Linked DNA regions of Schizosaccharomyces pombe. The protein of the gene in region 1 interacts with the protein of each later gene in a biochemical or structural test. Each region holds a gene or a part of one and is shown in the gene's direction. Other genes may lie near its edges.

Region 1 (17,787 bases):
GGAAGAAATCAAAAACTTCTTTTGACGTCAACCCCTAAAACAGGGGACGGTGATTGGTGGTAACCACGGACCGGATAGGTATCGATATGCACATCAGGTGAGAAGTTTTTCCGAGGCCAACTCCGGCTCCATGGTATATAATAGAGGGTTGCGCGCTACTGTTGCAGTATCATACTTCCAAAGGTCGTATAGAACACACACACAAATTAGCAAAATGGGAATTCTCGATATTGTACCTACTGGTGTTATTACAGGTGACAACGTTTTAAAGTTGTTCACCTACGCTCGTGAGCACGGATTCGCCATCCCTGCCATTAACGTCACCTCCTCCTCCACTGCTATTGCTGCTCTTGAGGCTGCTCGTGAGGCTCGTTCCCCCATCATCTTGCAAACCTCCAACGGTGGTGCTCACTTCTTTGCTGGTAAGGAATCCTCCAACGAGGGCCAAAAGGCCTCCATTGCCGGTTCCATCGCCGCTGCCCACTACATCCGTTCCATCGCTCCTTTCTTCGGTGTCCCCGTCGTCATGCACTCTGACCACTGCGCCAAGAAGCTTCTCCCCTGGATGGACGGTATGTTCGAAGCCGATGAGGCCTACTTCAAGATTCACGGTGAGCCTCTTTTCTCTTCTCACATGCTTGACTTGTCCGAGGAGCCCAAGAAGGAGAACATTGCTCAAGTTAAGGAGTACTGCAAGCGTGCCGTTCCCATGAAGATCTGGATCGAGATGGAGATCGGTATCACTGGTGGTGAGGAAGACGGTGTCGACAACTCTCACGTCTCCCACACCGAGCTCTACACTCAACCCGAGGACATCTGGGATGTCTACCGTGAGCTCTCCTCCGTTACCCCTTACTTCTCCATTGCCGCCGCTTTCGGTAACGTCCACGGTGTCTACAAGCCCGGTAACGTCAAGCTCCAACCCGCTCTTTTGGGTCAACACCAAGCCTATGTTAAGGAGCAACTCAAGACCACCAACGACAAGCCCGTTTTCTTCGTCTTCCACGGTGGTTCCGGTTCCTCTGTCAACGAGTTCCGTACTGGTATCAAGTGCGGTGTCGTCAAGGTCAACATTGACACTGATACCCAATTCGCCTACGTCGAGGGTGTCCGTGACTATGTCTTGAAGTACAAGGACTACCTTATGACCCCCGTCGGTAACCCCGAGGGAGCTGACAAGCCCAACAAGAAGAAGTTCGACCCTCGTGTCTGGATCCATGAGGGTGAGAAGACCATGACCAAGCGTGTTCTTACCGCTCTTGAGGACTTCTACACTGTCAACACTCTCTAAATTTGTGGTTTTTGAAAGATGGAAATGATTGAATAGACGGTGGGCTTCATTAAAATTATATTTTTTTGTCCCCTTAATGAGAGTTCATACTGTTTTGAAATTACGTGTTTGAATATAGAGACATTGTTTTTTAAAATTACCATTGTAAAAGCATAAGAGATATTTGAAGTAAAGTAGGGCAAAGTAAGTTAAGAAATTTTTTTGGATTGGATTTGTAAAGTGTTTTTCAAGCATACTGTATATTGTTAAGATTTTTCTTTTTATCCTTTTATTCATCTTCCTTAATTGGTTAATGTGTTCTTAGGTATATAAATTTACAAAAAAAAAATTTCCGATTCCACATGACAATGAATGAATAAATAATATGTCCGTGCGTTTATTTGAATTTAATATATATCGTTTGGCAAATCTCGATGAGTAGCTTAAAACAACATAATCGCTTGAATTTCATGTGCTTTGTGTACACAGTGTGCATTGTTTAGTAGATCAACTTTTTCTTCTTTCATTGCAATGAGTACGGGCATTTTCCCTTTTCCTCCATATTTCACGAATCCATGTTTTTTTTAGATAACCCTTTCTCAATCAAAACTCAGCATGCTTCTTCAGACTTGACCACTTATATTGTCAGTACACTACTGCTCCTTAAAAGCTTACTCCAAGTCAAGACATCAAGGTTGGAGCAATCATTCTCTTCATGAGGTACTATGGCTGATTTTCTTGCTAGAGATTATCGCTCTCAAGGTGAGGCGGCGCATGAAATGCTGCCGACTTTCCTTATAGGAAAAATCTTGAGAGAACGCATAGTAGATTCTATTTACTGGAAAGAACAATGTTTTGGATTGAATGGTATGTGTTCTTCATTGACAGAAAAGGAAAGTGTTTTTACATATTAGAGTTCAAGTACGATTACTTTCCAAATCGATATTTTGAGTGATATAGCCTAAATGAACTTGATTTGGCAAGCAAAGAAACCAAGTATAGGTACTTGCTGTTTTAATCAGTCCTCAAACTGTTATTCCAAATTCACTGACTAATACATCTTAGCTTGTTCATTGGTGGATCGTGCAGTACGGCTTGAATATATAGGTGGTCAGTATGGAAATCAACGGCCCACCGAGTTTATCTGTTTGTTATACAAGCTTTTACAAATTGCACCTGAAAAAGAAATAATTCAACAGTACCTATCTATTCCTGAATTCAAGTATTTACGTGCCCTGGCTGCATTTTACGTTCGGCTTACATGGGATGATGTGGAAGTGCATCAAACGTTGGAACCGCTGTTAAGAGATTATCGGAAATTAAGAATTCGTACTAATTCTGAGATCCGATTAACATATCTGGATGAGGTTGTTGATGATTTGCTAAATGCCGAAGTAGTTTGCGATATTTCCCTGCCCCCATTGCGAAGTCGACTCCAACTTGAAGATTTGGACTTGCTTGAACCACTTTCATCTTCTTCAGACGAAGAAGATGATGATGAAGAACAAATTAGTAAATTGGAGAGCAATGAAGGTGCTGTAGATCGGAATATTTAAGGATAAGTAATATACAAAAAAAGAGTAAAGCGAAGCACGCATTTTGTGATGCGTCTACGATTTAACTTGGAATGACTCTACAAGGAAAAGTTATGGATTGAAATGGTTTTACACTTGAACTTATTAAAAAACAATTTATGAATAACAAACATCTAATCAAATAGATTTGTATATTAATATATATCGATTTCACATATTATCGCAAATACGCTATTTTTTCTTGTAAACAAATTTCGATAGACTTAGTTTACAGCACACTAAATATTTATAAAATGTCTTTGATACGCCACGGAATTTTTTTCACACCATACTTTAACGAATCACCCCATTCCGTCTATTTTCTTACGTTTCGTTAAAAACATGTCAGTCCACTTCTTTTTTGCTCACATATGAATTAACACGACTTTTCTCTTTCATCCATTACCATACTCGAGCAATCCTAACTTTGCTTATCGGGTGATCGATTTTAAATTTTTTTACTTATAGGACGTCCAGTAGCCTTTATAAGTTCATTGACAACAATTGGGTTGTTGCTGAGAGTTTGTTTACTGCGCTCGACTCTTGCTATAACCTAATCTTAAACGATTATCAAGCTGGATTTCCTTCTTGCTAAGAACATTATTTTATTTTACAACTCATTCAAGAAATTATTTTGCTATCTATCGCCTTGGATAGCTTTTAATGCGTCAAATTTTGGATAATTTGTAGCTCGATTAGAAAATTCGCTCAACATCCTATACAGTCACAGAGATAAAAAACCCTAAGAGTTAAATTCAATTTCTCTTTATTGTTGGATTTTTTAACTCGCTGTTAAATTCCGCTTGGTTCTAGCTGGAAATTTTGTTAAATATGCAAAGCTCAATTCCGTCAGTTTCCGTGTCGGTCGCTTCTCCTGCAATGGAAACTCCAACAAAAGCTTCGCCTGACAGCAAATCACCCAATTCAGTGGGTGCGATTCCTTCTTCATCCCCTTTGGCTTCATCGACAAAGGCTTCAACTTCTACTCCCTTTGTGGAGAATTGTTCCAATCTGTTGTGTGATTTGGCTAGCATTGTCGAGGACTCACCTCCAACCTTGACCAACACCTCGTTGTCTCCCCATTCGTTTTCCCTTTCTGATATGGAGTCATCAATGAGCAATTGGCTTAACCCTTTTGCGTTCGACAATACGATGAACTCGGCGCCTCCTCTGTTTACTTCGACCAACATGGGCTCCCCTAACTCGTTAGAAAACTCTACAAATCCTCTTCTCTCTAATTGCGGCTCTCCAAATTCATTTCAGAATGAGACCTTTACCGGCCCATCATTGAATGAGTTCGATGCCGATGATAAAATTCAGCGCCAAATGAAAATCCTTCACTCTGTTGATACAATCGATCCATCGACTGTTCAAAATTATCCTTCAGCTGATATGTCAAATCCAGAAGTCAAATTGAAAACCGAAGAAATTATTACACCCATGGACACCACTTGCAAGCCTGAACCTTCTGCCAAGAAAATAAAGTTGTCTCCTTCCTCGGAAGATTCTTGCTCAATTCCTGAAACATTACCTTTTTCGGCCCCCAAGTCTAGAGGCTCATTATCTCCTTCTGAAACCCCAGATTTTGTAGCCGGTCCTGGAGGAAAACCAAAGAAGACAGCTCATAACATGATTGAGAAGAGATACAGAACCAACTTGAACGACCGAATTTGTGAATTGCGTGATGCAGTTCCTTCACTTCGTGCTGCTGCTGCACTTCGTTGTGGTAATTCTCTGGACGATGAGGATTTGGGGGGTTTGACACCCGCTCGTAAGCTTAACAAGGGTACAATATTGGCAAAAGCAACTGAGTATATCAGACATTTGGAGGCCAAGAATAAGGAACTACAGAAGACTAACAAGCAGCTTTCAGATAGGCTGGCTTTCTACGAAGATCCTTCGATGGCTCCTCCTTCTAACGATACTCGAGCCGTTAACTCTGTTAATGTTGTTTCCTCATCTGACTATTCTGTTCACCAATCTTCTCGACCAAACCTAACCCAAAGAGCTTTTACTTCCCCAACCCTAAATACCATGGGCCGCACAGCACTAAATGGCATGGTTGGACTTGGTCTATTCAATTATTTTGGAAACGATTCTTCTCAATCTGTTTATGGTTTATTCGCTCTTCCACCTTTTCTTATGTCTCCATTCACAGGTACTGTTCTCTTTAACATGCTGAAAATTGGTGTTGTTTTACTCGGTTTATTCTATCTTTTGCACGATAACTCTCTTTTCAAAGGCTTCAAGGGTGAAAAGAAATCTAAAGTTAGTACCAGATCTTCCATGTCACCATCCTCAATCTTATTCCGAAAAACCGTATTCGAAAAGTATTGTTTATTGGACCATTCTACTTCGACTATTTCTCTATTTTTTGGATTACTGATCTTCACTCTTAAATCTGCTTATGGCTATTTGACTCATCGTTTGAGTGCTCTTTATACCTCCTCTGAGAATTGGGTTTATAGTGAGCAACAACTTGCTGAAGTTCGCAACATGGAAAAGCTTTTGGATGCCCAATTAATGGGTGGTGATGCTAAAGTTGACCGTTTGAGGCTCTTAATGGTATTTGCCAGTTCATTTTCTCTTCCTCCTTCAAGTCATACTTGTGCTTTACAAGCAATGTATTGCCAACTAATTTTTTCCAACACCTCTGTCCCATCCGCTATCGTTTCGAAGTGCGTTGCTTTCTTCTGGAATGCTGCAAAGAAACAACATAGCAAAAGTTCTGTACACGCGGAGTTACGTGAGCTTCCTGAGTGTACTGCTAACCTAATTGAAAACTCCCACGCTGACGACGTTTTCTCTCCGAATATGGTTGAGCGATTGTGGGTTCTAGCAAAGTGCACCCGTGACTCTGCTCAAATGTCAGATAGTATTATTAGCTCCTTATCTGATGTTTTGGTTTTATCTCCTCTAGAGGTGCTTGCCTCATGGTATGCCGCTGATTTGTTGGATGCCCTTTTGATGGAAAGTTTGAGCCGTAAAGTTGAGATATCCGAGATTGAGGAAATTATTTCCCTTTGTCCTAAGAACTCCTCTATTATTCGTCATGCTTTACTAGCTAAATTGGTTTTGTTCCCCGAGAATACAGCTGATTCTTTGAATGAAGTCCTTGCAGCATACAAGAACACTTTGGATTTATGCAGCCAAGATAAACGCAAGCAGTCAAGCGTGTTAAAGATCAACTTATCCAAGCTATTCACACTCCACTCATGCCTATCATTAGCACTCCAACGCCTTGGATACGGGGATGTTTCTAAACGTATGTATCAGGAAATCTTTGTACCTGATAGTGATGCAGACATTACACCTTTATCTTTTATTATTTCCTGGACCGCTTTGAACACTTTTGCTCCTATTTGCACATCTCCAAAGGAAAACGATGTCGTTGAAAAGATGGCCATGTACGTGCGGACGGCCATCGGAACTTTGAAAATTCAAGATTTGAAATTATCTCGTAAGTTAATCAACTCTTGCATAGATATTGGATCTCGCTTACAAGAAGATTTGGGTTATGTTTCATCAGCTTAAATTGTCGATTCTCGAGCTTTGAGAACAGTTAGTATACAACGCTCATCTATTGCAACTACCTTATTATTTTCCATGATTGTTATTTCATCAGTTATTTTGCGTATCATTTTTTAGTTTTAATTATTCTTTTAATAAATTACAGTTGTCGTCGGTAAGAGCAGTGATAAAAATATGCAATTAGAGTTATTTTGTTGTATCAAGCTAGCACAATTCACCATTTGAGTATATTTGGTGATTAAATAAAATGAATAGAGTACAATTTGAGGCATGCTAAGGTTCATCGAACTAACTATTTTTTTAAATAATGACACATTGGCAAGATTAAAAAATTGGATTCTTCTCTTGCAGTTAACTCTCTGCTGTTGATGAAGATGTGTTGAATCTTAGACTGCTGATATCCATTTTATACCAATTGTATAAAAAAAAGAATGTCAATTATTAATAAAATGGAAATGCATAAGATAGATAAGAGTGGTCTGAAGTTTTACGGTACAGTACGTAGTTCCGTCCTTACTGAAATCTCGGGAGTAATACGAACCATTCACCAAAGGTAAACAAACTACCAAATTGTTTTTATGTATTATTTACTACTATATTGGTTAACTTATTCTGAATCCTACAACCTAAAATAAAAATAAATAGACTCGCTTTTATTATTTGTCGATTCAAGAACTTAGCTCTCCTTTGAAGATGAACAAACATTTTGCAAAGCTTTCACAATGGACCGGTGAAAAATTTGGTTTTGATCGTCAGAAGACTACATTATCTGATGATTTTTGTTCCTTGAAAGGTGAAACGGATGCCTGGCTTGTGGGAATGGATAAAATTCATAGAAGTTGCACAAGATGGGTACGGAATATGGATAAACGAAAGGGCCTGCTCGACGAGAAAGATAAGCAATTACCTGTTACTCACGTTGGATCGTCTTTTGTAGAGTTAGGGCAAGCATTATCGCATTCTTCAAGCAATTCGCACACTTATATCATGTACGGAAAAAGCATGGTTGAAATAGGGCACCTACAGGAGGAGTTTATGGATTATTTGAACAATTCTTTTTTGGCAAATCTAGAAAATTCTTTAGCCGAGTTTAAGGCTTTAGATGTGAAGGAAAAGAAGATGGAAAATCGACGACTTGTCTTTGACGCGCTTTCTACAAAAATACAGAAGGCCAAAAAAGAAGAGTCAAAGCTTGAAGAAGATTTACGGAATGCTCGCGCAAAATACGAGGAGTCTCTGGAAGAGTTTGAAGACAGAATGGTTCAATTGAAAGAATTAGAGGTAAGTATTATCGTCCTAATGACATTCGTTACCAATTTGATGCCATAATTAAACGATTATTAGGCCTGCCTAACTTATCTTATATGACTCAATATTTTTGTTAACTAATTTTTAGCCTGATCGTGTCGAAAACGTTGTACGACTCCTACAGATGCAAATACGATTTCATCAAAAAAGTCTCGATTTGTTAAAGGGACTTGAGATGAACGGATTTTCCAAGAAGAGGGATAACGTTAATATTCCAAAGCGTACTTATTCCGCAAGATCTATTCCATCGAATATTTCTTCAACAAATGTTGCAACAACGCCCTCGAATACCATTTTTGAAATGGATGATACTTTAAAGGCCGATAGTTCTTCAAATGAATATCATTCTCCCACCAATACACTCCCTTCTTACCATACAGAAGCTGACCTGGACAATTCTTCCATAGCTTCTTCAAATAGAACACAGCATACTGAAGATAATTATAACAAGGATGTTTCGGATGCTCAAAATTCATTGGGGCAGTCTGCTGTAGATTTAACAACTCCCTCATCACCTCCAATCCCCCGTCATACCAAACCCAAACTGTCTACGACTCAAAGTACCCCAGTCAAACCGGCATCGTTACAAAGTGAGGAGGATATCCAGTTAAGTTTTAAACAACCGGAATTATCTGCTTCGTCGGCAGAATTGGATGAAAAGTTGAAGTCTCAGTGTAATGTATCCCCTTCACCTTCCAACATTTCTGATGCTCCCCCGAGCAAGCTTAATCGTAGTTATTCATCTCCACTTGCTTCCATTTCATCCAGAAAGGTAGTACGAATGAAATATTCATTTGAGCCAGAAACAGAAAATGAGTTAAAACTAAAAAAGGGAGATCTTCTTTTAGTTTTAAAAGAAATTGATGAAGGTTGGTGGGTTGGGGAGAAACTGGGTGAAGATGGGGTTTTTACTGGAAATACCGGAATGTTTCCTTCAAATTATTGTGTTCCAGCCCATCCATGGGACAAAACATTTCGGGCATTTTTGAAAAAGGGCTTTAAGTAGTCCCATTTATTCCGAGTACTATTGCTGCTACTTTCCGTCCAATTTTAATGGCTGTTGTGTCTACAATCATTCTTTTTTATTTCATTTTAAATGATTTTTTGAAGCTCCTTTCTTTTGCATTATTTCATTTTTTTAGCATAATACCGACTGATTTTTATGCATCACGTTACCCGGTACTCTTCATTTTTTATTTCGACTGTCGATATACTTGTCTGTATGACATTAAAATTGAGTGATCTTAACCTTAAAAGTTAGTTTAAACAGACTTGTTAATCATGTTAGCACCTATGCTTTAATATAATTAAGATTTATCTCGAACTTTTGTTTCCGTAAATTTCATACTTTTAAATAAGATGGAAAGAGTATGAACAGTATTATTTTAAAAGTGGATATAAAAATGTATTCATGAATATCATAATGTCAAAGATATCCTTTAATCTTTTAAGTTTTCTTTGTTATATATTGATTACAGGTAAATTTGAAGATTACATCTTAAATATGGAAATTTTCTAGTAACCGTTTTAAACGGGATAATGAGATTTAACTTACATCTCAGGACTTTTCTAGTTGAGCATTTAAATGCTTATTTAATTATTAAAAAAAAATTCCAACGCCTCAAATTATGGTAATCGTGATTATTTCATTAAAATGGAGAACATAAAATTAACACCAAGATATCCAGGTAAGAAAAAAGCATACTAATGTTTTAAATAAAAAGGGTAACAACTGACACGGAAAAGGAAATAACACCAAATGTTGAGGAGTAAAAAGAAATTCAGAGAACTAACCCTATCGTTAAAAAAAAAAATTATTTTCACTGAATAAACCATGAGATATGCTTGAAGAGTAGCAGGTTAACAAAAAAAAAGAGAAAGTTATTCACAGAAATTAACTTAAAAAGAACCTTTGGCAGCCATGAGACGTTGCAACATTAGCAACTTAAAGGCACTGTACTGAAGGCCAGATACTTTTCCGTTATCAACCTCGGACGGAATCTTTTGCTGCAGGTTTTCCAACCAGTTGTTAGTGATGGTATAATTCCTTTTAAGTTTATTAATGTTGGTAATAATCTTTGTAGGAGTATCAGGTATGGAATCAAACGCAGATTCAGTAAGGTCAACGTTTTTAGAACCAACAAAAGTTTCGGAAGAGGAAGCAGACTTGTTTGATGCTTCATGAATTTTAATTACATGTCTTTTCTTGACACGTTCTCGGCGGCGGAATTGTGAGGTACCATGACTACGACCAAAAATGGATGGCCTAGCCGTGGTGTCATTTGAACCAAGATAGTCTGATGCGGAATATTGGGTTGCAGGGGAAGATACAGCAGAAATATCATCAGATTGAGTAGTCAATTGCTGTATAATCGTATCGGGAGGAGTTGACCGGTATATGGACATAGGTATTGAAGGAGAAGAAATAGGAAGTAGTGCTTTTCTGGATAAGGCTAAAGAAGCAATAGATCGAATGTTAGGATGCGTTTGGACATCCAATGGGCCCATTTTAATTGGGAGATGAGTGTCGACTTTCGTAGATTCATGATAGTCGGGAGGACCATCTAGCAAATCTGGGTTATAATTAGCCAGAGAAGTATGAGATTGGTTAGGAGAAGTGAAAGGAATTTTTTGAAAAGATAGATTAGAGTCGGACTTGGCAAACCAAATTCTTGACATTTTGTATATGATGGAAGGAAGTTCTTCCTGAAACAGGGAGACCAGTTGCACCTCGATTTCTCTTTGTAAAAAGCGAGCAATAGCAGGAATAGAATCAAAGGAGGAAGATACACGCACGGATTCTAAAGGATCGTTTCGAAATACCACAGTGATACCTTTCTGCTTTGAAAACACCAAAACAACTATTCCGTTAAGCTTTAAGTCGGAAAGTCGTAAAAACATAGGCACAGTAAGCGGTGCACGAGATGCTAACATTGTATTACGAGAACTAAAACTGGGAACATTACTTTTTTGCACCGATAATGGATTGGCACGAATTTTTGTTTGCAAGACCAAAGAAGCATCACCCGAATAATGGAGATTAAAGAGGCCCTGAAAGCGGTCTGGCGCTAAGTCGCCAACCTCTAAAATTTCCAGTTGAGGAGGTTGGGGACCCAAATCCAACTCTTTTACAGTGATGTGGTCTGCAATCATCGAGTGTTTAGTGCCTTTGTTTAAAGCAGCCGTAAGCAAAGTGGTTGCTCGCTCATAGAATGACTCAGAGAACTGATCACTCCATCCCTTTACACGAAACGACATTCTGTTGATTTTCCTAAGTTATCTACATCAACTATGAAAAATGTCAAATTTTTTTGTAAGGAACCGTCTAGTATAGACTAAGTAACTAACGCTTTAGATCAATTTCTTTACAAAATTTTTATTAAATTCGGATAGGGAAACGACAACTTCCATACAGTGGCGGACAGTAAATAAACATCGATAGGCTGGCTGATGCACTAGTGCGGCATACTGAACCTTGATATAGCCAAGATAAGGATAGGGTCGATCGTACTGTATATGAACGAAGGTGTATTAGAATGCATTAAATAAATTATTACAAAATGCACAGTAGTTTCTTATGCTATACTGGTGAAATATATTTTCTTGCTATTCTGTTCATTTAGGAGGGATAAATAAAGCTTCATGAAATGAAATTCCTTAGATATTCAAATCAGAAATTCAGCCATTATTTTAGAAATGATATTAGTGGTGTTGCTTACTGTATTAATTTGCTATGTTGACAAATATCTAGGCTGAAGAACTTCGAGTACAAGAACCGATACAACTTTGCTCTTTCAGAAAAGGATATCTCTGCATAAATGAATGATATTAAATCAAAATTGTTCGTTTTAAAAAACCTATATTATGTTTGTTCGCAGTCCATGTACTACGTTAAAAAATCACTGTAAACTTTCTAGATATCATTATTTAGAGAAGAGCAGAAAGGTAAAGTATTGCAAAGTGTGTAACCAGAAACTGTAGGTAGACAGTAAACTTGATTTTGTTGCTAAAATTTTTTATAAAACTAATTGCATACTAAGTTTAACATTCTAAATCAATTGGAACAAGTATTGAAGTTTAGAGCAATTTGGGATTTGCGAATTTCCACACACCCCTTTACGTCTCCATACCGACTTTTCATTATTTCTGCAAGGATTTGCTCACCCAACTTTTTTCAATATAGCATATTAAGAATTCTGGTTTTTAAAAGACGGTATCCCCTTTTTTACGGCCTTTTACTCACTTAATGATGATTGAAATCATTCCTAAAATTTCAATTCCCAAAAATGGACTAGGTTCATTTACCCGCCCAGTAAGATTTAATCAGCTTTCTTTTTTTTTAAAAAAAAAAAAAAAAAAAAGATTGGCCTTCATTAACTTCGTATTACTAATTTTCTTTTTAGTGCCGTCGAATTGAGTTTTCGTATTGTAATTGGGGTGGAAGCTCAAAAGGCATGAAAGAATTTTTATCCACAAAGCTTGAGTCTTTGGCCAAAGAATCTCAAGATGTGGAATTTCATGTTACAAACCGCCAAGGCAAGCATCCATTAATCCGAGCTTATTACAGTACGTCCAAGACTTTTCTCTTATTATGGTGATCCTCTTAGTTTTATAAATATGAACTCCTTAAAATAGTGTTTTTTACTAATGCTACGATAATAGATACTGGTCGAGAGAAGGTCATTTGTACAAGGAAAATGTCAGCGTCTTCAATATTTCAAAAAGCAATTCTATGCAGAGATAGTGATGGTTTGAAACCTCGCCTCATAAAATATCCTGTTGAGTCAACAAACCCATCCGTTCGTGGTATTTGGAGTCCATTTTCCGATCAAGCAAAGCCCCATGAAATTTATAAGAAAAAGTCCCCTTAGATTCCTCTACAAACTACTTATTATTTCATACAAAAAAAAGAAAATTCAATTTAATCATTTTCGTTATGTTATTATGTCTAACCTTTTTGTCCGAAATACAAAACCCTATCCAAATTTATCTTCCCATAAATACTCTAGTTAACCAGGTAGTAAGTGTACAGATGTATCAAATCCCTTCTTTTTCAATATCAGGAATATGCAACGTCCCTTTTAAGCTTTTTAAAGAAACAGAACAGCCATAGCAAACATTTTGATTCTTAATACCTTCAACGGAATCCGGATGTTCAACCGTAGTTTTTTGTAACCAAGTCTCAGCATCTTCTTGCATTGGTAGATTACAGATGGTACATATGGCTTCTGTAGAAGGCACATGCAATTTTGAGCTCATTTTGACAACGGTGCTAACCAGACTTGGGAATGTATCATTCAGCGATGAGAAATATGATTCTGTAACGCCATGAATAGTATTAGGACGTGCTTCAATTAAGCTATCGCAGAAAGCTAATCCCTTAATGTTCATATACGACTTGAGGTCTGAAGACAAAACTTCACGTAGGGGACGTAGTAGGAAAGTATCGCAATTTGGAAGCTTAGAGCAGACAGAAGTGTACCATGGTATCGCAAAACCTCGACCCTCTGCCACAAGTTCAAGAACTCTTGCAGCAATTGTAGTACCGCTATCACCAAAAACAATGGTATCACAATTTGCCTTCCGGGCATAGGATACTAAAAGCTTATCCCGAATTCGGTAAAGTAAATCTTGACGCGAGGCTAACGAACTAATGACTTCTGGATTAAATTTCTCATTATCTGCGTTTATTTCTATATTTCCTCGTGAGTCTGTAGCAATGGTACGGTTCAATAACTCAGCTTCACCAATAACTTTGAATGGACATTTAGGATAATTTTTGGAAATACTTTCCTCAATCGTTTTTGCAACAGCTGAATCCGTTCCCCACTGAAAATGAACTGCAAGCAATTCATCAAACATAGGCCGGTAATTATCATCTCGATATTTTGATAAATAATTGGCTGTTTCAAGCATTGCCATTGAAGATATACCACCGGAAATAGCCAGCATTGCTCTTTTAGATTTGCGTCCTTGTAAATTGGGTCGTACAAGCTCAAATTGCCGACGAATTTTGTTCTCAATTCTTCTGACAAAGCATGAATCGCAGACCGCATCTGATTTAGTCAGAACTGTTGCCTTATTATCGCATTTGGAACATTTTGAGTCGGCTGAATTGTCTAGAGCCGTGTTCTGCATTTTTTTAGATTTTTCTATTGTTTTTCGAAATGAAGGTCCACAAAGTACTTTCAAAAAAATTATCCGTATAAATAAATAAGTTTAAGAGATACCTATTCTTCTTTCAATTCCAATTTTATGGAAAAAGAATAGTTGGTGGTGCGCAAACCAACTAAACACTGGAATTTTTCATAGTGCCAGCTACTCACACAGTACACCACCATCGACCATGTCTCTGTGTATTAAGTTGCTTCATGAGACCCAAGGTACGATTTTTTACCCAATTTTTTTTTAGTAAAACTAATTTTTAGGCCATATCGTTACGATGGAGTTGGAAAATGGGTCTACGTATCGTGGAAAGTTAATTGAAGGTATATTCATTTTAAAACGATTTCTATTTTGTTATGGTTTACTTACACTAATTAGCGGAAGATAATATGAATTGTCAAATGAGAGATATCAGTGTAACTGCTCGAGATGGTCGTGTTTCTCATTTGGATCAAGTTTACATTCGTGGTTCACACATTCGTTTTCTCATCGTTCCTGATATGCTTAGGTAAGAATTTTTAAGTGGTTGGTTTAATCATAATTTTAACGTTTTTAAACAAGGAATGCTCCTATGTTCAAAGTTGGCCCTGGCAGAAGTGTTCCTTTACCTACACGTGGACGACGATAAAAGAACCGTATGAAAAAGGATAATAGATTTGGTGATTTAAGTAATGAAAAATTCATTTCTACTGTTGCTTTAAAGTTGAAAAACGTAATGATTTTTTAAATATTCAATAAATTAATGGACGCACGTGTTTCTACATTGCATTGTAAGTAGTAAGAGATATTGTGAATAAGCTCTTTTTACATCTTTTCGAAGTACGTTTATGTAGCTGCTGTTTATCGGAGTGATACCTTCGACTTATCTATAGTGACAAATGCTATTACCACTATTTTGTGTTGTTAAAATACATATTTACAACATAAATCTTTATATGCTATACGAATGCAAAAGTTAAGTAAAAAATTGAATAATATGTAATATCCGATACTACAGAATAATAAACCTAACTTATTTTAGCTTAGAAAAAAAAATTAGGTTCTTCTGGCAGCAGCCCGCTTGGAAATCTTTCGACGTTGAGCAAGCATATGTGTATACATAATGTAAAGACCTAGAAAGTTAATAAAGATTTTGGAAGAAAAGCTGGGTTTCACTCAACTTACCAGGTGGATAAATAGACATCAAGATGGGCCAAAGCAGCTTGTTCAAACTCCAGACGTACTGAGCAGCAATCCTACTTTTCAATACTAAAAGAAATTCACTTCCAGCACCGATGGGATAGAGGATTAGGAAGGTATTATAGCGAAGCCATGTTAAGAAAGCAGGGATGTCGCCGTTCAGGTTGAATGCATAAAATGCATAACGAATTATTTCGGTAATGGACCAAGCGATGATCATACTTAAGTATATAGGAGATCCCTCAATAACATATGAAAATGGATAGCACACACCCCAAACAAGGTAAAGTCGAGATGCAACTTGAATGATTGTTGTTAAAGGAGAAGAAGATACTAGTCCAAATATACTGTGGAATACTTCAGCTATTGCCAGAGTTTGTACCCAGCGAACTAAAGTATTTGTTTCATGAAAAACTACGGCTGTATCTTTGGTTATTCCCCATATCAATCCTGTACGAAGCAAAACGCTCATCCAAAGAAAGCAGGAGATAACATTGTATAGTTTTAAATATTGTATTTTTACTATTTTTAACTTTGTTAATAACTGAGATCTATAAAAAATCGAGTCTTACAAATTTTCGACATTTTTGTTGGGATTGTAGTTGGAACAATACGATTTTCAAACGTTTCACTACGCGGCCTCACTTGTATGAGACCATTGTTGGCCAATATTGTTTGTTGCGTTCTGGGGGATGGATAAATTCTTTCTATCAAAAGAATGTATACAAACACTTTACAAACAACTTTTAAAATTCGGATTTGGCTAACATCGTTATGTATTAATGAAAATATCAAATTCGCACAGAATCATAAATTGATCAAAAATAATATCAATCAGATTATTAAAAAATTAAGGTAAATTACATATTCTATAACTAATTGGGTTATCTGACTCGATTGATGATACGTGTCTTTATTTACATTATCAAGTCAAAAAAAATTTACAAACCCCGGGTATTAAATTAGTAATCTGAACCAGTTTAAAATTAGAAATTTATAATTATTTGAAAACATTTTTCTGCTATATGTAATTTGTTTAAAGTACTATGTGCTAGTCATTTCGTAAGAAGAAAGCCTGCTGTTACGGATGACTAACATCCTAGCCACAGCCAAACACTCCTTTCATCGAAAAAAAATTGCAATCACATGTAAGAGGTTTATTAAGGGACAATCTGATTATTATAATAATTATTGATAATTTTGATAGAAGTTATAAAAACTATGAATCTGATTCATAAAGTATCAACTATATGTCAATGTGTCTTGGTAATTCTTGCAAAGTATTGTATGCAAATAATTGCGCTTTCGTTGATGAGTGGTGTTCAATGGCTTGCTTGGGGAATTTACAAAATCAATAAAAATCGTGTAGGGATCATCATTTTGTTTTTGTACATTATGATCGTAACATGTTATGTCCTTACTAATCTTACACCACCAGGCTCTCCATCGGTACGTCAATTTCCTTTAGTATAAATATTATGTGAGTATTATTAAAACAGGAAACTAACTCTTCTGTTTCAGGAGACCTCGTTTGATCCGAATTCTACTAGGCAATATATGACATTACAGAATGGAAAATCTCGATTTTGCGAAAAATGTCAAGAATACAAATGCGATCGATCTCATCATTGCTCGCAATGTAATAAGTGCATTCTTCGAATGGACCATCATTGCATGTGGTTTAAAAATTGTGTTGGATTCCGTAACCACAAGTTTTTCTTCCTGGAGTGCTTCTACTTAAATCTCTACTCCATCTGCGTTCTTTATTCAACTTTTGTTGCCATCACCAAAACTTTCACAGCCGAAGGAGCGAATATTAGTGCTATTTATTTAGTGTTCTGGGGCTTTCTGTTTGCTTTTGCTGTTGGAATGAGCATTGTTATGACTGCCTTTACTTTTTATCATACATCATTGCTCATTCATAATTTAAGCACTTTGGAATCCATGAGCTCTTCATGGAGTCGATATACGCATTCCACTCAACCGTTCAATGTCGGCTGGTACGAAAATTGGTGCCAGATTATGGGGAAATCCCCATTTCTTTGGTTACTTCCTTTTCCCAATTCTATTGGGGAAGGTGTTGAGTATCCATTAAATGCAAATGCTCTCCCTTATTTACCCCAAACAGAAGAGAAGAATGACAAACTCTACAAGAGCTCGGTTCCTGCTAGCATTGCTGGAGCTGAAGGTTGGAGTAGCGATGAAGAGCAATATGCTATGAAAAATCGCCGTTGGAATCCTCATATGGGGCAATATGAGTGGATTGAAGACTTCTTGGTATAAGCCAACGACATTTCTATTTTACTGTTTTCAAGAGTAAATCATCCGGTGAATCAATCTTTTTTACGAAAAAAAATGCTTAATGTTTCTTCCGCTCCTTAATAATCCGTGTTTTTGCCGATTTTGAGTTTTGCCTCCGAAAAAATCAGTTGAAAGCACTTTAGAAAAAAAAATAAGCAAATATGTCCTTTTCGATGATTGCTTGACTACCCTTATGGATTTTTGGAAGTGTTTTTGAATGCTTACTTAGGAGTTTAACACGTCTCGCAATTTTTTTAAGAAAAGCACTCATTGCAAATTGCAACAATCCATTGGATATGACTCGAATTGAAGATTCGTTTGTTTTATTCTTTACAAAAACAAGGATTTCAGCTAGTTTTTGAAAATTTCCCTGCGTGATTAATAGTTTGGGAAAAAATTTTCGTTATCCCTGTTCGACTATTCAAGTATCGCAACCTTTGATCGCTTGAATATGCACTG
Region 2 (12,699 bases), on another chromosome or scaffold:
TGACGTATCAGTAGGTGGTTCTAGCACAATCAAAGAAATTGGCTCTATTGAAGAAACTTTTACTCATGAAAAAACTTTAATGGAGGAATTGCTGGACACCGTCTTTCGTTTGCTTTTTTGCAGAGGCTTTACGCTTCCTCTTTCAAGTCCTGAGCAATATGCATACATTATATGGTAAGTATATATGTATATATATATATATTTTTTTTTTGTTTTTCGTTTGCTTTTTTATATTTGGTTAAATGCAATGTGTTAACTAATCACTTTTGCAGGGAAAATGGAATTGGTACAACAGAAACCCAAGAGAAAACCACAAAGGAACTTGCGTTTAATCGCATTGAGGTTCTTCGTTTGCTGTTAGTATTGATTTCTAAAAGGCTGTATCGATCTTCTGAAGTAGCTTCTCACACCCTTACTTATTTGACCTGTGTAGCAAATAAGCAGCTTATACTAGTTTTTCTTTATTCCCTTATAAATACTGTAAGTTTTGGCTTAAAATTTACCTTTTTTTGTTGTACAACTAACTTAGTTTTTAGACTTTGCGACTTAGACCTGATAGCTGGAAGGCTTCGTATTCAACTCTAGTACCTTATAATGATTCTAGCATTGCACTCTCAAAACTTACTTCTCAAATCCTTTTGCTTTTTTTAGATCACACCCCTCATGAAACAACAGTCGAATACTTCAGACAGAGACTCAATCTTTCTCCTGGCGCTGCTATCGAAAATCAGTATAGATTATATTTTTCTCGACTTCAATTACAAGCTGATTATGAATTTTTAGTTAACGAACTATATCGGCTATTGAATGCACCAGTTTCCGCTATCTCTGCCTATATTTCAATTGTACAAAAGCCTAATATCGCGTTTCCGGAAATTATTTTGTTTCTTTGGCAAGCAATTTTATATAATAAAGTATGTTCAACGGTCCTTTTATATATATTACATTATTTGTACAGTTGTTTAATTTATGTTGTTACGCGTTCATTATATTTGCTAACTAATTTAAAACAGCGTTTCCGAGCATTTTTGATCACTTCTCCTTATGCTACGGAGTTTTTAACTTCTATTCAGTTTTATGCACTTAGATATCGTGAAGACAATGAACATTCCGGCCTTGTTCGCATTTGCCTTTTTATCGTTCATTATTTATCATGCGAGAAGGTTCTTTGTGAAAAACTAAATAGAAACTGTATGAATGCACAATCATTGATGTCTTCCCTTGGGTTCTCAGTCCCACCAATGTCTTATGCAGAGTTTTTGATTATCGTAAGATTCACGATTAATTGTTTATTTTAATTTTATTACTTACGCCTTCCAGTCTAGCTTTCATATTTCAGCAGTGAAGAGATCTCCGTTTAGCAGTTTATCTCCTGTTATATTGTTGACCATATGCAATATTGCACCATTTGTTGAAAACCTAAGTTTCGTTACGTGTGCCAAATTAATGCAACTCTGTTCATCTCTTTCATCTCCTCGGTTTCTTTTTCGTAATCCGCGCAATCATCTGCTTCTTGAATACCTGTTACAGGCTATTTCTAGTATAGTTGAAAACAAGTTTTCTCAAAACCCTAATCTCAGTTATTCTATTATTCGCCTCCAGCAAGTTTTTTTGAATCTTAATTCTATGAAACTTCCTGCCGTTGCTCAGACTAAATCACAGCCTTTAGTGGCCCTCAATTCGGAAGGAAGTAGTGATTTTGAATCTAAATCATCCGATAACACCTCCTTAGATGGAACACCACTCCAAAATACTGACTTTAAAAAAGTTGCTACCGTTGAAGATGATTCACCTTTCGATGAATTAGATAAATTTTCCTCCCCTTTTAGTAGCAGTAGTTCACGCGGTGGCTTATCACATATTTCGAGTAGAAATGTTTCGATTTCTGTCCCGACAGTCCTTCAAGATGTATTCTCAGATTCTCCATTGGTTCTGTCTAGAAAGTTGCGTGGGAAAATACCGGAAAATGTTTCTAGTTCAGAACTTATTAAAAAATGTGCATCCAATCCGTTTGGAAAAGATTTAGAAATTGACTCAAATTTGTTTGCACCTTCCAACTCGTGGTTTAATTCTTGGCATTCAAGACTTGAATTGGATTCTATTCTAGCCATTATATCTCAGTTTTCTCTACCTGTATACAAGAAAATGAATGAAGAATTATCAACTACTGACGAAGCTGTTAAACTATTAGCTAACTCTGTGCTAAATGATGTACATCCTCGAGTTCCCAATTTTCGCTACTTTATTTGGAGTGTCCCTATGAATAATTGGTTTCAAAGTCTTGTTTGGCTTTATACTTTGTCATTTGATGAAAAAGGTTTAATGGCTACTCCCTCTTTATTTACAACCTCTAAAGTGTACAAACAACATGGAAATATCATGAAAGTTGCATCTCCTGAAAACAGTTCTAACTCAATGGAGAATGCCACAAAATCTATACTTGACAAACTCGATTTGCTGTATTTACAGCTGCCAAGTAGTGTCAACCACGATTCCAGTTTACGCAACAAGTGATTCTTAAATTCAATGCGTAAATTAAAGTATACTTTTGTCCTAAAAAATATTTGAAGAAAACCCTGCATGCATGTTATGGTATCTTACTTTGAAAATTTATTGATTAAATTGTTCACTAAAAAATTATCTTGGAGGATTTGCATCCACATACTGCCATCATTTAATTATATACTGATGACCAGAATCTTGCCTTGCTAATTTTGATTTTTGAACTTTTCGATTTGTTTTCATTCTATTAATTAACTAAAAACTGGCTTGGAGAATCTTCTGCTCCAACCTTGTCACTAGCTTTAAAAAAGTCTTTCGAAGTTTGATTTGGAAAGTTGGTGTTTGAAAGTCAATCTCGTATACTTTAGAAAGACCCACCTTTATGAGAGAAACGATCCACTGATGCTAATTCATTACATGTATCCAAATCAATGTATAACCTTATATAGCAATGAATTGGTTGCTAAAAAATTCTTAGCTTTATTTCGCTACACTTATAAATCTGTTTACTATATAAAATAAAAAATCCAATTTCAAAAGTTTTGAGTCCCAATTTTTTGGGTAACGAGGATTACTTCATAAAGACCTTAGACCTTTCCTTTATTTTTTCCACAAAACTATTTATATTCATGAGTTTGTTTTGTAATTGCAATGAATAACTAGCTTGTCATTTACGAAAATTGCATATCAAAAGTATTTGAGTAAAATCGATATCCTGTTTGGCATAATGGTTCAATTTATAAAAAATTCGTGTGGTTAAGAGTAGAAATATATTTTCGATTTTGCGAAATGCTTAATATGCGAAGATATTGTATTTGAGTACTTCAAAAGAATACAACGCACAGTAAACCTTTTCTTTCAATAAATTATCAGGTAGAGGTGGCCTTATTACTGTTTTTTAATAATTTTTATGCTTAAATACCTATTGGAAGCAAGAAGTAATTATGATTACCAAAATTGACTCACTTCCAAAGGACCTAATTCGCAAAGTTGAAAATGGTGAAAAGTTGTTGCCAAATCAAGAAATCGTTTATTTTGAAGAAAAAACAGTCCCCTATAAAATTAGAAGTGATGAGGAAAGTTTTCCTTTGGGCAAATTGATAACTTTATTAGTAACTTCACAGAGCTTTATCCTTTTTGATGAAGAACAGAATTCTGGCTGGAAAATTCCATATGAAACCATTACTCTTCATGCGAAACAAAGCAAGGATAAGCCATATGTATATGTTCAATTAGAGGGTGAAGCCATTCGACCCTTGCTAGATCACATTCTTAAATTTGAACGGTCGTCAGGAACATTGCATGAAGCTCCTTCTACCGAAGATGAAAATGAATTCACAGATGATTTTTTAGAACTAACATTATATGTTACTGATGTTGATTCATGTTACCAGGCTCTTTGTACTTGCCAATCTCTACATCCGGACACTTTTTCCTCAGATAATGATGTTGAAAACGCGAGTATGGGAAACCCTATGTCCTTATTTTTTGATCCAAATCACCAGTGGGTTACGGCTGAAAACGTAGATACCTCAGCTTGTGATAACAGATTTGATTCTCCGGAATCGCCTGTTCTGAAATGGCATCGCACAGAGTAACTTTCATAATGTTGTATTCTAACGTTTCATTCATACTTTTTAAAAAGTAGTTTATGATAATAAATAAATATAAACAGGCTTCTAAATTTACTAGATAAAATATCATTACACATTTCACTAATTTGTACAAAATTAATCATGTAATACATATTACAAATGACAAGACTGTAGACTAAATTTCCCATGCAATAACATTTTAATCATTATTTATACTGGAGAGGAATTGCAATAGCATGTGAGGCGGAAAGATGAACATGCTTTACGGTAACTTTAACTTTTCCAGGCAGTTTGGCCAAAGTAAACCGAACATTTGATACAAGTGCTTCGATGTTTTCTTGTAGCTCCTTGTCGCTGAACCCTAGTTTTCCAACCGGCAAATTTATCGAGCCTGCATCATTTTGCCGATAGTCAACAGCTGTGAGGGCAGATTCAATGAGTGGCTTCAATTCATCTGATATAGTACCTCGTTTTATTGAAGGCATAAGACGTTTTGATCCTAATAATTTAGCAACTTGTGGTAGTAATTCTGCCGAGTTGGGATGAGCAAAGCACTTTGAAAATTCAAGGGGCTCTGTTTGAATTTTTTTTACTAAGTCTTCTGCACCAACATAGGTTGCACCCAATTTTAAAGCTTCATCTGCAGCTGCACCTTTAGCAAACACACAAATTTTAGGAGGCTCTTGAAATGGATGAGGAAAGGCAATTTGACCACGAGCTGACGGAGCGCGTCGATTACTTTTTAAAGCAATTGAAAGCATATAAGACCCAACATATGGAACAGAAATGCTCACAGATTTGAGATATTTTGTGGCTTCAGGAACTGTCATCGCAAGAGCGGGAAAATTGGATTTCTTGTTTAGTTGAGAAATAAACCTTTTGCAGAAACCCTTTTGATTTTTAAAATTTAAAAATTCATTATGTGACAATAATGTTTGCCGTTTACCTAACGCTATTAATGAACTCATGGTTTTTAATCTGGTTCGTCAAACTGTCACCAAGCTACTGGATGTCAGTCAATGAACCTGCTAAAATCATAAATCTCTAAACAAATCTGATCCAGCTGTCAACTTTCGAATTAATAAAGAATTATCTTTCAAATCAAATTTCCTTATAATGTTTTTGATTAAAGACTAAAAATAAACGGTTTCGTTTAAATTCCACGTTGTGGTAGTTGTAAGATACTGTAGGGTTATACTAGCAAATCCATCCGTTCACGATGTATATATTTTAAGGAGTTAAAAGTTTGTTCATCGGAGTTTTGAGGGATATAGCATTATGAATTTTGTTTCATAGTTATATCTTCACCGCATCTTGTTAAATCTGCGTCAACTGAATAGTTGTTGGTGAATTGTTGTTAACCTTTGTTGTTGATAAAAAATTTTCCTTATTTGAATCTTTAATATGATAGGAATTCATTTTTTGGATATTGGATGTAGCTTCTGGATAGCTGTCCATGTACCCGACAAGTGAAAGCATGTTCGTTGACTCATTACAGTCCTCATCTTGGAAATGTGAGGGCTCAACTGTTACGTACGTAAGAGTTGTACAGGTTGTTGCTCTTGCTCTTGGCACAAAGTATGCATTACTCAGCTTTTTGTTGTGAAGCATGTCTTGTATCTTCTTCAAGTTGGTGGCTGTTGAACCCATCTTAGCAGACCCTCGGTTATTTAGTTTTGTGTTAGCATGGAATACCAATGGTTTTAACAAGTTTCCTTGTTCTCCGTCATGGCTCAATTTTCCTGCTTCTTTCTTTATATCCAAGTTGCCTGATAACTGTCCACTAAGTTCCTTATTTTCTTGCTTACAGTTAACATATTCATTTGTCTGACTGGGTTCTTTGTTTTCACCAGTCTTAGGCTCATTCTTATTTTCAACCTTACTTGAAAGGGTCGTGGGATTCTCAGAGATTTTGTTTGTAGAAGACTCTATTGGCTTTCGGATGGTAACAGTAGAGCTTCTTTCTGGTTTGACGAACAAAGCTTTGTTGTCTTGCTGCGCTGTTTGTTCTGAAGTAGGTTTGTTTGCAAAAAATGCTTGCAATCTACGAATTCTGTCAGACTTTCGCTCCGCGAAGCAAACGAAAATCCTTTTTTTCCCAACCATCATTCCATTCAATGTGTCTTTGGCTCTAACGGCAGCCTCTATTTGACGAAACGCTACGAAACCATAACCTTTGGAGATTCCTGAATTTGGATAGCATGCTAACATGGAAGACAAAATCGACCCGAAGGGTGAGAATAAATCTTCCAGCTGACTCTTGCATGTGATGACGGTATCATCTAAATTTTTAACGTATAGATTTGAAGGGTCAATAGGAGAATTAGGGATACTTGGAGAGCTTTCACGTAAAGAGTCCCAATGCACGATTGACTGAGGTTTATTATCTGGGTTCCAAGCGGCTGGATGATTTTGCTGATTTGAAACACCGGTAGTTGAAACGCTACCCCATTGGCTTTTCTCCTTAGTTGGTGAGCCCATAATCCATGTCATCTTCGAACATGTAGCATTTTCGATATTTATTTGAGTTTTGTTAGCGTTTTCCGATGGGAAAGGCCATAAGCTTTCACCAGTCGGCGTTGTGGGAATTGACTTCACTGAAGAAGAGGCTTTATTTTTTATACTGACCTCTAAAATGCTTCCTTTGTATGGAACGTTATTTAATTTTTCTATTGCCTTAATAATGAGGTTAGTATCATGAAATAGATTATGCAAATATTGGGGTTTTCTCTTCATATTGAGCTTACATTTTGACATGATTCAACTGAATCCATAATCACTTCGCCATACCGGAACCCTCTTTGGTCAAGAAACTGGCTGACCGCCGTCCCTTTTACTACACCAGCCTGTTTAAAGTGGTTATATAAGTCAATCGGTGTGACTTCGGCAGGTAGGTTCAAGATACTAAGGGGTAACGTAGAAGCGAAGGCATTTGGTACAACTTGCATGCTAATATCTTCCAAACCAAGAGACGGTATGGTAAGCGTTGTTTCTGGCTTCGGGTTACGCGAATTTATGCCTCTCACAGTTTCCCAATTTCTTTCTTCGACATTTGGAATAAATTCCTTAATCTGAGACTGTTTGAGTCCTGGCTTAACGTTTTCCTCATCTGTATTGTTTTGGATGCTAGGATTGAACACGTTCGCAGTGATTGACGTATCGTTAGGTTTGAATTTTTTGTCTGTCAGTTTCGCAGGATTTACGACTCTTGCTTTAATGGTCCTTTTTTTTAGGTTAGTAATTTTTTGGAGAATGATTTTTCGATTTTTTTTTCTGTAATGCTTGTCTCTAATTTTTCCCTTCAGTCACTTACAATTTTCTTTGGCCCAGAGTCATTCCTTTAGCGTCCTTTAGAACTTCTTCAATGCTTTCAGCATTAACGAATTTGACGAACCCATATTGCACTCCATTTTTAGGAGGTTTAAAAGGTTTCGCTTTTTCCTTAGGATAAAAACTATCAAGTAATCGACGAAAGATGGATTCTACTTGTCCTAAAGAATTGATTAATATATCGCTTTTATTTATGTTTTCTAATGTTTTTCCTCGTGTTTTTATCCTTGACTTGTGTGTTCATACCATATTTTGAAAAGTGTTTGATGATTTCTTCATCAGAAAGTCGGGAATCTATATTTCCTACATATATAGTACTGCTTTCATCTTCATACTGTCCGGGGACAGAGAGTTTTGAATTGTTCATTTTATCTCAAAAAAGATGTGTGATGGAAAGGAATGGTTGTTGTTTTTGGTATATATAGGATCGCTGTTTGTTTACATTTCGATGATGCATGACTGAAACTATTACCACCATAACAAATGAGAGTAAACAAACCTTAAATTGACCTCTTAACATTTTTAGAGTAATATTTTTTGTTTTTTTTTAAAAATGCTTGTTTTATATTTACAACTTGATTTCCTAATATTCATGCAGTTTGGTTCATATCTGTTTTATCCATATCTCTACTAAATCCTCAAATCGCATTTATAATGACATTTTATTTTATTTTATTATTAAAGTCAATATTACCTGCTCGCATTAAAAAATATTTCAAATTCATACCATCCTTTTTTCGGCTTTCGCTGATTTCAAATTAAAAGTTGAATTTCCTTAAATGAATCAAAAAGCAATTAGGCTAATATTCTGGTGAATCCATTCATAAATTTTCAATTATTGTTGTTTTTGGCAAACCAACTGATATCGCACAACCTGTCAATAAGTTAGGTCAATCAGTTTATTACTCAAAATCCAGATGTTACTAAATTCTTTCATCTGCTTTTTTCTTTGGTTTTCTTTGATTTTAGAAGTATGATAGTTTAGAGCTTTACTCGCCTATATTCTTTGCTAACTAACTATACAGTATTTTACTGGCAAAAGGTAATAGATTTAGATAAAATAAGTTTGAATCGAATGACCATTAAAGTAAGTGAAAAGCAATAGGTGAAGATTTAGTGTAATCATTAAAAAGGTTATAAATGTTAGCAGTTCTCCAATATTAAGAGCAATTTATGTAGCTCATTTCAGTTCCTTCTAATCCATTTTAGACTTAAAGCTTCATTCTGTCGAATACCGTTTTCTTCAAATACTTGTATAAACCTCGGATTTTGTCACTGTTTATGAACAATGAATTCGTCTAAATTAACAAAATGCAAAATTCTTTGTTTTTTTGTTTTTATGATTGTTTGACTGAACAAATAAATAAACATATACAGATTTAAGGGTTAACAATATCCAATGATTTTCCAAGAATATTATACTGCTGGGTTAAGGTATTTTGATATAACATCTACGACACTACTCAATAGACACAACTACTATACAACCTTCGGGTGCCATCAGACAACAATTATTCACTATAGTATTTGTTTTAAGAATTATTAACTTATTAGTAAATGTTTTATTGTGTATTTGGAACTTTAACTAATACTATCTAAAATCCGGTAATCTCGTTCCTTTTTGGCTTTCGAATCTAGTGTGGTTCATATGCGATCCTTTGTTGTGATTAGTTTTTCATAGGCTCAGAGAAATTATGCTAAGATTTGGAATAAAAACATGGAAGCGCTCTGTGTTGGCGATACGCAGGTCGTCGACCGCTCCACATGTGCAGATCATCTCCAATTTGCAAAAAAAGCTGCTCAATGAGCTTTATTCTTTGAGAAGATTAGTCGATGACAATTCTCCTGCAACAATTCGTGTAGGAAATGTCTCCCTTTTGCTTTCCAAATCGAATATTAGGAGGAGGATTGCGCTACAGGCGTTAAGCTCTTCTGCCGAAGATGTCGCGTGTGTCAAACAAATCACACATGCTCTTCTCGCTGCTCCCTTTATGCCTGAGTCAAAAGAATTGAAATATGCCATGGATCACAATGGACTAAACCCACTTTATATCTCGTTTGGCACAAATGCTTTGTTTGAGCGAAATGCTAGGTATAGTACGTCACATTTATTTCTTCCAAGCGACTTCCTACAAGTCAATAATCTTGAAATTATTCACCTTCCTCCGGGAACAGTGGACTCTGATATTTTGGCTAGTTGCCATGCTCGATATATATGTTCTACTTCTTATTTAAGAATGACCTCCAGTGACTTTACTACTGCAGACACGTTGGTGCTCGATATTGACCCAAAGTTGCATTCTCTTTTAAAAAATGAAAAATCTATAATACCCGTCTCATCATCGGCTGCATTAAAAGCCACCAAAGCTCTGCAGGATGATCCCCACAACTTTCAAAATTACCAAAATCAATGGGAGCAAAGTGGATTTCAACAACTACGCACCAACATGACGCCAACAAGTGATTTAGAAATATGCAAACGTTTTCTAAATTATCTTTGCTGCTCCTTTTCTCTAACAAAAGCCGAGAAAGATCTCGTTCGCGCAACCGAATTTAGCAATTCTATGCTGATATCGATAGAAAAATGGGCCAAGTACTGTGATGTCGATCTTCAAGAGTTTGAAAAGAAACTTCAAAAGTTTTGGAAAAATTTTGGTACATTGAAATTATATTCCAACATTGAGTCGTTACCTGCAAGTCTAAAACAATTAATAAAGGATGAGTACTTACAAAAATCAAAGCTCGAATTGTCATTTATTTTAGGTGAGTTGTCGAAAAACGGTGACGATAAAAATAATTTTGAACTCGCCATGAAAGATTTTGGGACATTTCAAAACTCCCGTATGAGTGCTGTAGATCAAGCCTTACAACCTTTACGTCGAAAGACACTATACACAACTGCTTTTCAGGGACTGGGGGCTCTTGGATCTCTTTATTTATATTTTGTCTCTCATTTTTCTTTGTACAACGCCTTTAGCGTATTTTCTGTTTGTGGCGTTTTCGGCCTCTACTATTTACAGTCCAGCTATAGATCTTGGAAGAAAGAGTATTGGAAGGAATTGTTGGAAGAAGGTCGGAAATTTGAAAGACAGCTTTGTCGTAACGTTTTTGGGCGCTCTAGTTTTTATGTACAGCAGAAAACTGCAGCTGAAAAGAAAGAGCATATTTCTTTAATTATGAAAAAGTTGACGAAAACATTGGACCTTATGAAAGAATTTCAACTACAGTCAAGCTTTTCGGATAGCCCTACAGCCTCGAAAAAGCAACTTCTATGAACTTTTATGACTTAACCTATCACCCCTCTCTTGATTTAGTAACAAGGTATCGAAGTTTTATTTCTTCTGAGTTAGATTTAACATTTTTTAGGAGTAAAATAATTAATTACCTTATCTAATTTCACTTGTTAAAAATAATAGTATACGAACCTATTGTTTAAGGAAAACTGTGTAACAATGATAACTGCTCGCCCCTTAATACATATTGGAGAAAGAATCCCTTTTTTATAATGTAGTAATCAAATTACAGCAGAGTTAGCGATTTCAGTAAAAAATATTCGTGATTTTAAGTCGAGGTTTTTGGAAGATTCTAATTGTTTTCATGTACAGTAGTAGTAAAACTAGCTAGCATAAATTAAGCAGCATCCATTCAGTTTTATTTAATCAAGATTTCAAAAAAAATCGCAAGGTACCAGCTTAACATTTATACACTGTAAGCACTGTAGTATTCTTCATTAGCTCCAATATGTTACCACCAACTATTAGAATTTCAGGTCTGGCTAAAACCTTACATATACCATCTAGAAGTCCCTTGCAAGCTCTAAAAGGCTCATTTATCTTATTGAATAAGCGTAAATTTCATTATTCGCCGTTTATCTTACAGGAAAAGGTACAATCCTCGAATCATACCATTCGGTCTGACACCAAACTATGGAAACGCCTCCTAAAAATTACTGGCAAGCAAGCACATCAATTTAAGGATAAGCCTTTTTCTCATATATTTGCATTTCTTTTTTTACATGAGCTAAGTGCTATACTACCTTTACCAATTTTCTTTTTTATATTTCATTCACTCGATTGGACGCCCACTGGGCTACCAGGCGAATATCTTCAAAAAGGTTCTCACGTCGCAGCTTCCATCTTTGCCAAATTAGGATATAACTTGCCTCTCGAAAAAGTTAGCAAAACTCTCCTTGATGGTGCTGCTGCTTATGCTGTAGTCAAGGTATGTTAGTATAAATCGCCTCAATGGCATATATACATGTACATAAGAATTTTCGCCAAAATGATTTAGAAGCCCATATTTAGCGTATCTTCAGGTACAAATTTGATTGGCCAAATTTTCGCTAATAAATAAGCTTATTTTGTCGAAAATAATATGGTGTCTTCTACGCGTCCGTTTGTTTCCAACTAACATTTTACCAGTTACTTCTTCCACTTCGAATTTTCTTAAGTCTCGCGTTTACACCTACATTTGCTAAAATAATTTCTAACCTATCTTTTAAATTGTTCAAAAAAAGAATATAATGGCGAGTACATTTTCACAATCGGTTTTTGCGCGTTCTCTATATGAAGATTCCGCTGAGAACAAGGTCGATTCATCAAAGAATACTGAAGCCAATTTTCCTATTACACTTCCTAAAGTTTTACCTACAGACCCGAAAGCTTCTTCCCTTCATAAACCTCAAGAACAGCAACCAAATATCATCCCTAGTAAAGAAGAAGATAAAAAACCCGTAATTAATTCAATGAAGCTGCCATCGATTCCTGCTCCTGGGACAGACAACATAAATGAATCTCATATCCCACGTGGATACTGGAAGCACCCCGCTGTAGACAAAATAGCTAAGAGACTTCATGATCAAGCACCTTCAGACCGGACGTGGAGCAGAATGGTATCCAATTTATTTGCTTTTATTAGTATTCAATTCTTGAATAGGTACTTACCGAATACCACTGCCGTAAAGGTTGTTTCTTGGATACTCCAGGCACTTTTATTGTTTAACCTGTTGGAATCAGTTTGGCAGTTTGTTCGTCCACAACCTACTTTCGACGATTTACAACTAACCCCTTTACAGCGAAAATTAATGGGTCTTCCGGAAGGAGGTTCGACTTCCGGCAAACATCTTACCCCTCCTCGTTATCGTCCAAATTTCAGCCCTTCCCGTAAAGCTGAAAACGTTAAATCCCCCGTCCGTAGTACTACATGGGCCTGAAACATTTTATTTATAGGGTTGTTTTAAGAAGTTCTTAATAAACTAACTTACTGCGCCTTG

Evidence for each region.
Region 2: the proteins of smd3 (region 1) and saf5 form a complex in vitro, tested with the Schizosaccharomyces pombe proteins (one study listed by BioGRID).

The regions. Positions count from the first base shown.
Region 1 is NC_003423.3:1,688,153-1,705,939, forward strand, and holds smd3 (Sm snRNP core protein Smd3), read left to right. Parts: upstream 1-14,003; 5' UTR 14,004-14,029; coding exon 14,030-14,066; intron 14,067-14,111; coding exon 14,112-14,171; exon of another isoform or gene 14,172-14,226; coding exon 14,227-14,356; exon of another isoform or gene 14,357-14,409; coding exon 14,410-14,476; 3' UTR 14,477-14,608; downstream 14,609-17,787. Other genes in the region: fructose-bisphosphate aldolase Fba1, read left to right, coding at 215-1,291; U4/U5/U6 small nuclear ribonucleoprotein complex subunit PRP38, read left to right, coding at 1,996-2,137, 2,336-2,826; transcription factor Sre1, read left to right, coding at 3,676-6,378; SPOM_SPBC19C2.10 (BAR adaptor protein ), read left to right, coding at 7,069-7,656, 7,772-8,689; protein Mdm34, read right to left, coding at 9,583-10,941; mrpl51 (mitochondrial 54S ribosomal protein mL43), read left to right, coding at 11,930-11,995, 12,087-12,249, 12,346-12,554; cytosolic thiouridylase subunit Ctu2, read right to left, coding at 12,721-13,821; phosphoprotein phosphatase Phs1, read right to left, coding at 14,884-14,960, 15,013-15,549, 15,600-15,612; palmitoyltransferase Pfa3, read left to right, coding at 16,249-16,476, 16,549-17,310. UniProt on the Schizosaccharomyces pombe protein: Plays a role in pre-mRNA splicing as a core component of the spliceosomal U1, U2, U4 and U5 small nuclear ribonucleoproteins (snRNPs), the building blocks of the spliceosome.
Region 2 is NC_003424.3:1,787,179-1,799,877, forward strand, and holds saf5 (protein saf5), read left to right. Parts: upstream 1-3,328; 5' UTR 3,329-3,446; coding exon 3,447-4,100; 3' UTR 4,101-4,221; downstream 4,222-12,699. Other genes in the region: ftp105 (Ubp5 interacting protein Ftp10), read left to right, coding at 1-174, 273-480, 537-914, 1,014-1,268, 1,321-2,514; mrpl1 (mitochondrial 54S ribosomal protein uL1m), read right to left, coding at 4,304-5,065; poly(A)-binding protein Crp79, read right to left, coding at 5,415-6,773, 6,845-7,319, 7,411-7,588, 7,674-7,794; protein Mmc1, read left to right, coding at 9,122-10,702; mrx11 (uncharacterized protein), read left to right, coding at 11,169-11,657; nucleoporin Pom34, read left to right, coding at 11,950-12,639.